Linked DNA regions of Neodiprion lecontei. The protein of the gene in region 1 binds, or shares a complex with, the protein of each later gene. Links are inferred from orthologs where the notes say so. Each region holds a gene or a part of one and is shown in the gene's direction. Other genes may lie near its edges. The genes, in order: DNA polymerase epsilon subunit 2 and DNA polymerase epsilon subunit 4.

The links.
Region 2: DNA polymerase epsilon subunit 2 (region 1) and DNA polymerase epsilon subunit 4 share a complex: the UniProt entries of both Homo sapiens proteins name them as parts of the DNA polymerase epsilon complex. The link is inferred for Neodiprion lecontei from reciprocal best matches to the Homo sapiens genes POLE2 and POLE4.

The regions. Positions count from the first base shown.
Region 1 is NC_060266.1:940,913-946,712, reverse strand, and holds DNA polymerase epsilon subunit 2, read left to right. Parts: upstream 1-1,855; 5' UTR 1,856-2,465; coding exon 2,466-2,533; intron 2,534-2,681; coding exon 2,682-3,228; intron 3,229-3,338; coding exon 3,339-4,022; intron 4,023-4,112; coding exon 4,113-4,385; 3' UTR 4,386-5,083; downstream 5,084-5,800. UniProt on the Homo sapiens protein: Accessory component of the DNA polymerase epsilon complex. Participates in DNA repair and in chromosomal DNA replication.
Region 2 is NC_060263.1:35,832,021-35,836,073, forward strand, and holds DNA polymerase epsilon subunit 4, read left to right. Parts: upstream 1-2,097; 5' UTR 2,098-2,254; intron 2,255-2,638; 5' UTR 2,639-2,794; coding exon 2,795-3,037; intron 3,038-3,122; coding exon 3,123-3,263; 3' UTR 3,264-3,467; downstream 3,468-4,053. Other genes in the region: gametocyte-specific factor 1 homolog, read right to left, coding at 1-118, 373-537, 688-1,011. UniProt on the Homo sapiens protein: Accessory component of the DNA polymerase epsilon complex. Participates in DNA repair and in chromosomal DNA replication.

The DNA.
Region 1 (5,800 bases):
AAGAGCTCCTCGGTTCTCTTGCGCTCCTGATACCAGGAGTAATTTTCGCTGAAATTTCTCCGATTTGCTTAGTTCTGATAGGAAGTGGCGCGAAAATTTGAGATATCATGCCCCCTCAAGCAAGCATGCATGCCTTCAGTCACACAGCGTCGCCATAACATGCAGTCAATCAATGTGTCCTTGTTTTTAGAAGAGCTCCTCGGTTTTTCTGCGCTCCTGATACTCGGAGCATGCATGCCTTCAGTCATACAGCGTCGACATCACATGCAGTCAATCAATCAATCAATGTGTCCCTGTTCTTGGAAAAGCTCCTCGGTTCTCCTGCGCTCCTGATACCAGGAGTAATTTCCGCTGAAATTTCTCCGATTTGCTTAGTTCTAATAGGAAGTGGCGCGAAAATTTGAGATCTCGTGCCCTCTCAATCAAGCATGCATGCCTTCAGTCACTCAGCGTTGACATCACATGCAGTCAATCAATCAATCAATGTGTCCCTGTTTTTGGAAGAGCTCCTCGGTTCTCCTGCGCTCCTGATACCAGGAGTAATTTTCGCTGAAATTTCTCCGATTTACTTAGTTCTAATAGGAAGTGGCGCGAAAATTTCAAGATCTGATACCCTTTCCAGCAAGCATGCATGCCTTCAGTCACACAGCGTCGACATCACATGCAGTCAATCAATCAATCAATGTGTACCTGTTTTTGGAAGAGCTCCTCGGTTCTCCTGCGCTCCTGATACCCGGAGTAATTTTCGCTGAAATTTCTCCGATTTGCTTAATTCTAATAGGAAGTGGCGCGAAAATTTGAGATCTCATGCCCTCTCAAGCAAGCATGCATGCCTTCAGTCATACAGCGTCGACATCACATGCAGCCAATCAATCAATCAATGTCTCCCTATTTTTAGAAGAGATCCTCGGTTCTCCTGCGCTCCTGATACCAAGAGCAGTTTCACACTGAAATTTTTCTACAATAGCTACAAAATAAGGACACTAGACGTAAACGCAAGCGTTTGCAGGCTCTTTTAGGGAAGCAGGCATTTGTGTGCAGAATAATTTTATTCGGTATTTCCATGTATAGTATACTATGGTGTGATATAATCTTATGTAGAATTACTATGTATGGTATAATTACATGTAGAATAATTTGAGTGGTATGTTGTAGTTTTATTTATTTATTCAATCATTAATGTAGCTAGTTACACAATAAAAATACAGTATAATATGCCAAGACTTTGCAATAAAATTCTGCAGAGGTGCAGAATGCGCTTGTGTAGCGCCGGTATAGCTCACCTAACTAATAAAACCTACAACTAGATATTCAATTACTGAAAAACAAGAAAACAAGTTCGTTGCGATAGTTGGATACACGACTAATTTAGTGCAGCTTTTTTTTCATAAGTATAACAATTTTATTTGGTATAATTATGTGTACAATAATTTCGTGTGGTATACTTATGTGCAGAATAATTGTGCGTCGCATAATTATATCTAGAATAGTTTGTGACACACTATAAAGCCTGGAACAATTTTTTGCGGCATAATCGTGTGTGGAATAATTTTGGGTGTCAGTATTGTATGTAGAATAATTTTGATTGGTATAATTATGTTTGGAATAATCATTTTCGCATTCTGTTCGACATTTATTACTTATCGCTTTCCTACCTGTACTACCGTCACTCCAATTATTGTAGAAATATGAGTAATAGTACGTAGCAACGAAAGCCATTTCTTGCAATACTGAGTACGCCTGATGACCAGAATTTATTTGCGTCAACATTATGTGCCTCAAGTGTTTTTCAAAGGGTATCCAATACACGTAATTGCGTATCAAATTGCCTGAGAAGCCTAGCTCAAGCGTTCACTCTACACACGGCCTAATGCTCCAGCTCCAATTTGTTTATCAATTGACCAATTAATCAATAAATCAATGTTACCAATACGAAATTTCCCGACTATCGATTTTGATAGATTATGTATTTCACAAGAAGGAATAATGATTATGTTGACATAACACATCATAACATGTAATCAATTAAATCAGTATCCTATTACTCTACCTGTATTCATTGCGACATTAATTCTCAAGGCCTCATTAGTTAACTCTTCATATGATTCTGTGTCACACGATAGTTGAAGATTTCGCATTATTATTAACTGACAAAATCTATGTGTACAGTTTTCGAACAAATTCTAATTTTCATTCATAACATTTAGCCTGTGATACTATTGCTAGCGGTTAGGCGGTGTCACCTGTGCGGCTTTTCCCGCGTAAATGCAGGCCGTGATTATTCTAGAAATACAAATGAATTTGCAGTCTCCAGTGTAAATTTATCTATTAATACGTCGACTCTAACATCGGTGTTGTTTACTAATCTATTAATTTTAATAATTTGACCCTGTTTTCCACTCATTGTCAGTTTCATTCGTTCATCCATGCAATGGTAAATGGGTACGTGAATGTAAGCAGCTACCATGGAAAATGAGAGGTTAATAAAAACCGTTCAAACAGCGTTCAAATTGTCTGGTCTGAACATAAACAGGTATGTATGGATATACTTTAAGTATGAAATATATATTGCTGACATCTACTATCTGACAAAACGAATTCACAATAAAATGGAACAAAAAAAAAAATGACAACAGTCATCGTCTCATAATTGACAATACAATTTTTTCCTCATCCTTCAGGAAATGCTGTCTTCATTTAGCGCGTCAATTGCGAAATATTGATGCAGCGGAGCACGAACACTGGATATGTCGAATAGTCGAGTATGTCCTGGCACAGGATTTAGTTGAGCCATGCGTTAGTGTGGATCACATAAAGGTGGCTCTCAAGGAGTGCCTTAGACCAAGCAATAGTCTCCAAGAGACTGAAACAATCCTGAACGTTCTCGACGGTTTCAGAGTACCAAAGATAAAATACGATGTCACGAACAAGAAATTTGTCATCGAGCAGAGCGTTCCCAATTTGTTTTCAGAACCTGTCGATAAATCTCTGGTAATCAAAGAACGACTCGAGCTCCTATGGCACAGGACCATGCAGAATGAGCTCTTTGCTCCTGTCAAATTTGGTGAAGTGGACACAGTCAGAGTGAAGCTACGTCAAATAGAGTATCTACTAAGTCTCTCTGAGGCTAAAGATGTCTACGTTATAGGCATGTTAGCTCAGCTGACCGAAAGACAGTATTACCTGGAAGATGCAAGCGGATATGTCAAAATTGATCTCAGTCAAGCAATATCCTTTTCAAAACAAACTATAGGAAGTTCTTTGACAATTCTGAAACAATAATTAATGATTTGCACGTAAGTGTGATTTATTTTACCTTAACTCTCTCTCTCTCTCAAGACTATCAAGCACATCTTATAACCGAGGGTTGCGTAGTTCTGGTACGAGGAGACTACGAAGATAGGGTACTTGTCGTAAAAACCATAGGATTTCCACCGTCCGAGACATCGACAGAAAGTCGCGCGCGTTTCGGAACGGCGAACACCTTTGGTGGTCATCATCCAGTGTCGCTGAAAACATCGGAGAAGTTGAGAAATTTTGAGGAGAACAACCCAGATGAGATGATCGTGTTCATATCTGAATTATGGGTCGACGACCAGATAGTACTTGAAAAACTCAAGCTCATGTTAGAGGAGTTCTCAAATTTTCCCCCAGTGGCTTTTGTGATATGTGGGAATTTTCTGAGCTTTCCACCAAACGTAACCAGTTCACAGAAACTGAAGGAAGGCTTCAAAAGATTGGCTGATATAATTGCAGGCTATCCAGAGATTGTTCAGAACAGTAAATTCGTCCTTATTCCTGGGCCACACGATCCTGGGGCACCAAGAATATTCCCAAGAGCACCTATACCTGGTTACGTAGTTGAGGATTTCATCAAGGCCATTCCTAAAACTGTTCTGGCAACAAATCCCTGTAGAATTCAGTACTGTACAAAGGAAATAGTAGTTTTCAGAGAAGATATTCTTACTAAGTTATGCAGGAACACTTTATACCTTCCCGACGATGCGGATATCCCCAAAGACGTTAGTTTCGTTCTATTTTGTTACGTAAGAAAAAATATACATCAATTAATGGATCAAATCTAATTTCTTCTTTTTCAATTATATTTTCAGTATGCCAAATCGATAATCTCGCAATCCCACTTGACCCCTATGGCCCTACCTACAGTGCCTATTTACTGGAAGCACGATCAAGCGTTACAGCTTTATCCAACGCCAGATCTCATAGTCGTGGCTGATCAGTTTGAGCCTTACAACACTGAGTACAACGAATGTTTTGTTGTAAATCCAGGAGTGTTTTCGAAAAATGATTTTCCATTCAAAGTCTACATACCAGGAGAAAATAAAATCGAAGATTCTGAGATGGAAAAAGAAGATCAGAGCTAACGATCTGTCAATATTTTGGTCGTTATTTTCTTTTTTTGTTTACAGGCTTAAGATGATACCTTTAAACAACAATTTTCAACAAAACAAGATTTCTAACCAAATGAAAAATAATGTAAATTTCATACTTCACGGTATAGCTTGATCATTCCTGTTTACCAAACATGATGTGTACTTCGCTATAATTTTGTACAATATTTATTATTATTATTACTATTTCTTTCATTTTTCACAGGACAATTATGAATGTTTGTTCTCTGTCGTTTTTCACCCCTTGTCGCGAACTTTTACAATACTTGATTCGTCGGCGCGTTTTCATGTTCGCAACTTAAAGTGGGCATTTTCCTTTTAGTTTACTTTTTCTTTCAACTTAGAAATAACAGCGTGTAATCATTATTATAATTATGATTAAGTTAACAATACAAGTACAGACGTAATAGTAATTGTAATATTATTTATAACTAACTATAGTAGTGTGATAATATTAATATTAATTGTAATTACGATAATTAAATAAAATCAGAAAAATAATAATAATTTAATCACTCGTCGGTAGGGTACTGGGGCATGAGTGAGAGGCAAAGAGGAAGAGGATTGATACGTGCAAATTTGTCGCTGCAAGACTACCTCGTTTTCATATACCTATACCTATACCCATGTATGTACATACTTATACATACAGATAACGAATACACTGGATGCCGAAATCCAGCAAAAATGTGTAATGTTTTAAATATCATTATTACTATTCCTATTTTTACTAATGTGATGAATGAAATATTTTGTGTGTTTTCGCGGAAATATTGTAGTGAATGCATGCTCGACTTTCGTACTTTTCTTTAGCTACGAATATTAATAGCTCGCTTTTGCTATTACTATTCTTGTGATTATTGGTATTTTACAATGTACACGTAAATTTTTGTGTTTTGTTTTCTGTATAAACACAGTCACAAAAGCATGCAGACGCTTGATCGATAGATATACAGTAATATACAGATATATACTTGTTCAAGACTTGTAAATACATATAAAAGTATCGCAGTTTCATATTACATACAAGACATTACAGCTAACAAGAATCCAAGAAAAATTGGGAAAAAAATACTTTCAGTCTATTACATATGCGTGTGTACAAAAGTTGCAAACGGAGAGGGAGATTGTTTAAAAAAATGTTTGATATAAAGAGATCTATCCAAGTTTCAGTACAAGCCTATGAATTTGCTGCATAATAACATCAGCAGCGGTTGTATTATAACGCAACCATAAAAGGAGAAAGAGTTGTACGAACAATCAAGAGAAAAGAAAATGAAAAAATAACAAAACACTAAAATTCATATTCAATACTACCTTGTTTAACCTGAGACAGATATTACACATCATAAAATACCGTCAAAAATGAAAATCAGGAAAGAGAAGAA
Region 2 (4,053 bases), on another chromosome or scaffold:
GACCACCTGAACTACCGGCTGCATCACCCCCTGCAGATGACTGAGAGCTGAGAGACTTTGGCAGAGTAGTTGGCTGTCTCAGGGGCTGATCATCAGGAAACTCTTTTTCTTTGGCAGCCTAAATTTTGACTCAAGCTTTATCAATACAGTAGAGTTTCAAATTCACAGTGTATACCAAACACGAAACGAAAAGCAGTTTAAAAAAATTTTTATCCCTCGCATTAATTACATAATTTTATTATGGAAATTTAGTAGTTTTTTCAAGAGCAAGTTTGTCTTGTTCACCGTGTGTTGTCAAAATATTTAGAGGTTAATGCATGACCTTAATTCACGCAGAAAATAAAAAAAAAACCCAAAACAACAACACATTACCTTTGGTTCAACCTTGACAACTGAAATACTTTCATCCAGAGCTCGGAATCTTTGTCGTTCTTGTACTCTAAATTTTTTGCGTTCACTTGGGGTAGCACCAATCAAAGTATGTATTATCGGTGCTTCTGCCACATTGACAGCAGCGTCATATGTCCCACAGTTATCCTATTCCATAATTTATATTACTATAGAAATATAATAAACTTACAATATATACGATGTTTTCCTTACAGAATATTTTGATATTATCGTATCTAAGTTAGAGATAAATAAATATAATCTTCCTCATCTAGGCAAAACAAATTTTCTACCAACATTATCCCAATTCTCTTCACTGTCAGGAAGATCCGGCTCTGGCAAAGATTGTATTGCATGATTCTCATCTTGTGTGATGTACGTGAAATTGTCAACAATTCCCCTGTTCGAGCATGTTTCCAAGTGAAACAGGAATTCTTGTTCGTTCACCAGGTGTGTTGCATTGAAGGGGCATGTCTGCTTTTTAGATAAGGGATAAGCTTTGCGACATTTTGTCAAATGGAATTGCATACGTTTGCGAGCCAGTCTATGAGATGCATTATACGGACATGTCAAAAGACTTTCAGGGTCCGGTCCTCCAGTCAAGGGATGAGATGTTGGCATTGTTTAAATTTATATTAATATTGTTGTTGGTTTTGTTGTTATTATTATGATTTGAAGACCTCGTTACTCAAGGAGCTGCGAATATCTGTAATCAAAAAAGTATATAAAAACAGGTATACTTATATGTTTATGGCAAATAAAGGCGATGATAATATAACAACTTCAGAGTTTCAAAGAATGATATAAACAATTAGCACAGTGTATTCAGATTGGTCGGAATCTGCGTCACATAGTGACAACTGCCCAAAAAAAAATAGTATCTGAAAAACATCAAGTTTCTACTAAACATTAGAGTATATCAAACTTCGAACCTAATGTTTTCAGCATGATATTGAGAGTGCCACATCGCCCACAAATCCTTGCGAACGGTGCAGTTAATCAAATGACAAACTATGCGCATTCGAGATACAAAAATAAAAGATTTATGCTGTAGAGATAGTATTAATTATCAACAAATACGCCATGATAACAAAGGACGAGAAGAAGAGGAGAGCCTTCGCTATCTAGGATCACGATTTCGCAAGCATCTTACGATTAGCACCCTACCTTGGGTGTATTAGAGCACATTACCGTAATATTTCATTTAACCCATATAATATTTTGCTTGAAGATAATTTCAGCTCGATTACCCTCAGTAATGCAATAGATTGATCGTTTTGACAGATGAGATCTTGTTAAAATATTTACTCACCCCGTAAATAACTGCAAAATGATTAATAATTCGGGAGTAAATAGAGGTCACCTCGAATTCAAACACGTTCAACAACTACACAACACAAGTTTGTTCAAATTTTCTACTTTGAGTAAATGAACTAACCAATAGCACAAGAAATCCCCCCAAAACATAGTTACTTGCTTTGTCCAGTGTCGTATGTGAAGAGAGATAGATACACTTTGCTAACCACGGTCTTTGTTGCTAACTATGCAATTTGGCCACATCGGTGGTCGCTGCTGTGTTACCGGAAATGATAGCAGTGTGACGTCGAACGGTACCTGGTGGAAATTTCCAGATGCTAGACACCGGAATCGTTCACACAGCTAGAGTTAGACATCAGTTGTTTGGGTCACCAATTACCGACAGAGAGAAACCTTTACCGATAGAGTATTGAAATACACCGAACAACGGGCATTCTATCGCTCTAATCGAACGAACCGAGGAAGGAGTAATTGTTGGATAAAAGATTTAATTAATTGGCTTACCTTTTGAGAATAATCTGGATATGATGACTTGCAGCGTAGATTGGTGAGAGGATTTAACGGAATGACTGATTTTAATATATTTGGATACTTTGATTAACTTGGATTTATTTTATAAGTTCAATATTTCGAGTCACAAACAACGAAGTTACCTAGTGTAAGATCTTAAATTAATATGACAAAACGGAGCTGAAAGCTCGCTAGACTTTTGGGCAGAGTAACGTTGTATGAAAAGTTTAAATGCAAAAGGCAAAAGGATTTTACCGCGAGACTGTACCGGTACAAGATGACAAATCTGGTGGTAAAAACCCAGAGGACGATCCGATGATCGGTCGCCGTTTTTATAGATTTCAGTCGTAACCATAACCATAGTGTGTAGAAATATGCGTGAAGCTGCTGACAATACTTTTGTCAATTGATTGCTTCACAGAAAAAGAGTAGCGTTTAGCTCCTAGACGGACGAAATCGTGAAAAATCAATTCCTTTTTGCGATTGCATAGCGAGAAGCTCATCACATCAAGCGGTCCACTGATCCGTAAGTCGATGTTTGGGTCAGTAAATCGAACGTAATACAAATATTTCAAAAATGTCTGAAATGGAAGTGCATGGTTTCATGAGTGAAAATGAATTGAATGAAAGTGCAGTCAGCGAGATAGCTGAACATTCTCAGGATTCCCAAGAAGAAATTGACGGTGTTTCTCATGGTGACGAGGAACAGAAAGAAAAATTGTTAAAACTCCCACTGAGTAGAGTTAAAGCAATAGTGAAACTGGATCCGGATGTAAACTTAATCACTCAAGAGGCTGTATTTCTGATAACAAAATCAGCGGTAATTAGTTATTCAAATTAAATTTTTCTTATACATTTTCCTAATTCACCTATTCGCAGTTATTGCTAAATTGCATTGCTTGCAGGAACTTTTCATTGACTCCCTAGCGAAAGAGTCCTACAAGTATACAGCACAGAACAAGAAGAAGACTGTGCAAAAACGAGATGTCGAAATCGCCATTGAAAATGTCGACGGATTGGTGTTTCTAGAAGGAGCATTAGAGTGACTTTGAATCTTTTTTATATTAGCTTTAACACTTGCACGTCACTCATGCGGATGACTAAGATGATTTTCTCATTTCAATCGATAGTGTATTTAACGTGAAACAAACATATGTTATATCATGTAATTATTAAGATAAGTATTTAAATTCATTAATTCATACAACAGTTGAAGCTCTTGTAATAACATTTAAAAATATTTTCAATTATCTTTGTGTAATTCAACAAGTTTATTCCGATACCTTGTGATACAGATTAGTTTTTAAACCAAAGTGTCGTAGGAATGAACTGGCTCACAGTAGCCTGGGAAATTTTGATTTTGGAAAGGTTTGAAATAACTGTATTAAGGACAAATAAGGCAGTTTATTTTGTAAAACATTTAAAGCTACACACGAAGTTATTAATCACGTTATTTATTATCATCATTCTTACAATGCTTCAATGCGGACGAAAAAACAAAAAATGATCCAGCGACAGATAGACATAAAAATAAGTATTGTAAGACTTGGTATAAAGAGTATTTATTTGCTTAGTTATTACATAACGCGTGCCACATTCACTTGATTAGATCATATCAGCTTTAGTTGAATACATATAACATTTCCTCATGTATAGATTTTATCTCCGACATATTTACTTGCACTCAGTTTTCCCTACCCTTATTTCAGAGCTAAAAATGACATGCAGATAGTTATTGGAAAGTACCGGATTTTTAGTATTATTATGATAAATTTCGTAAGGCTATTAAAACTGAATGATGCTGGGAAAATAAAATCAGTCTTATTTTCACACTCT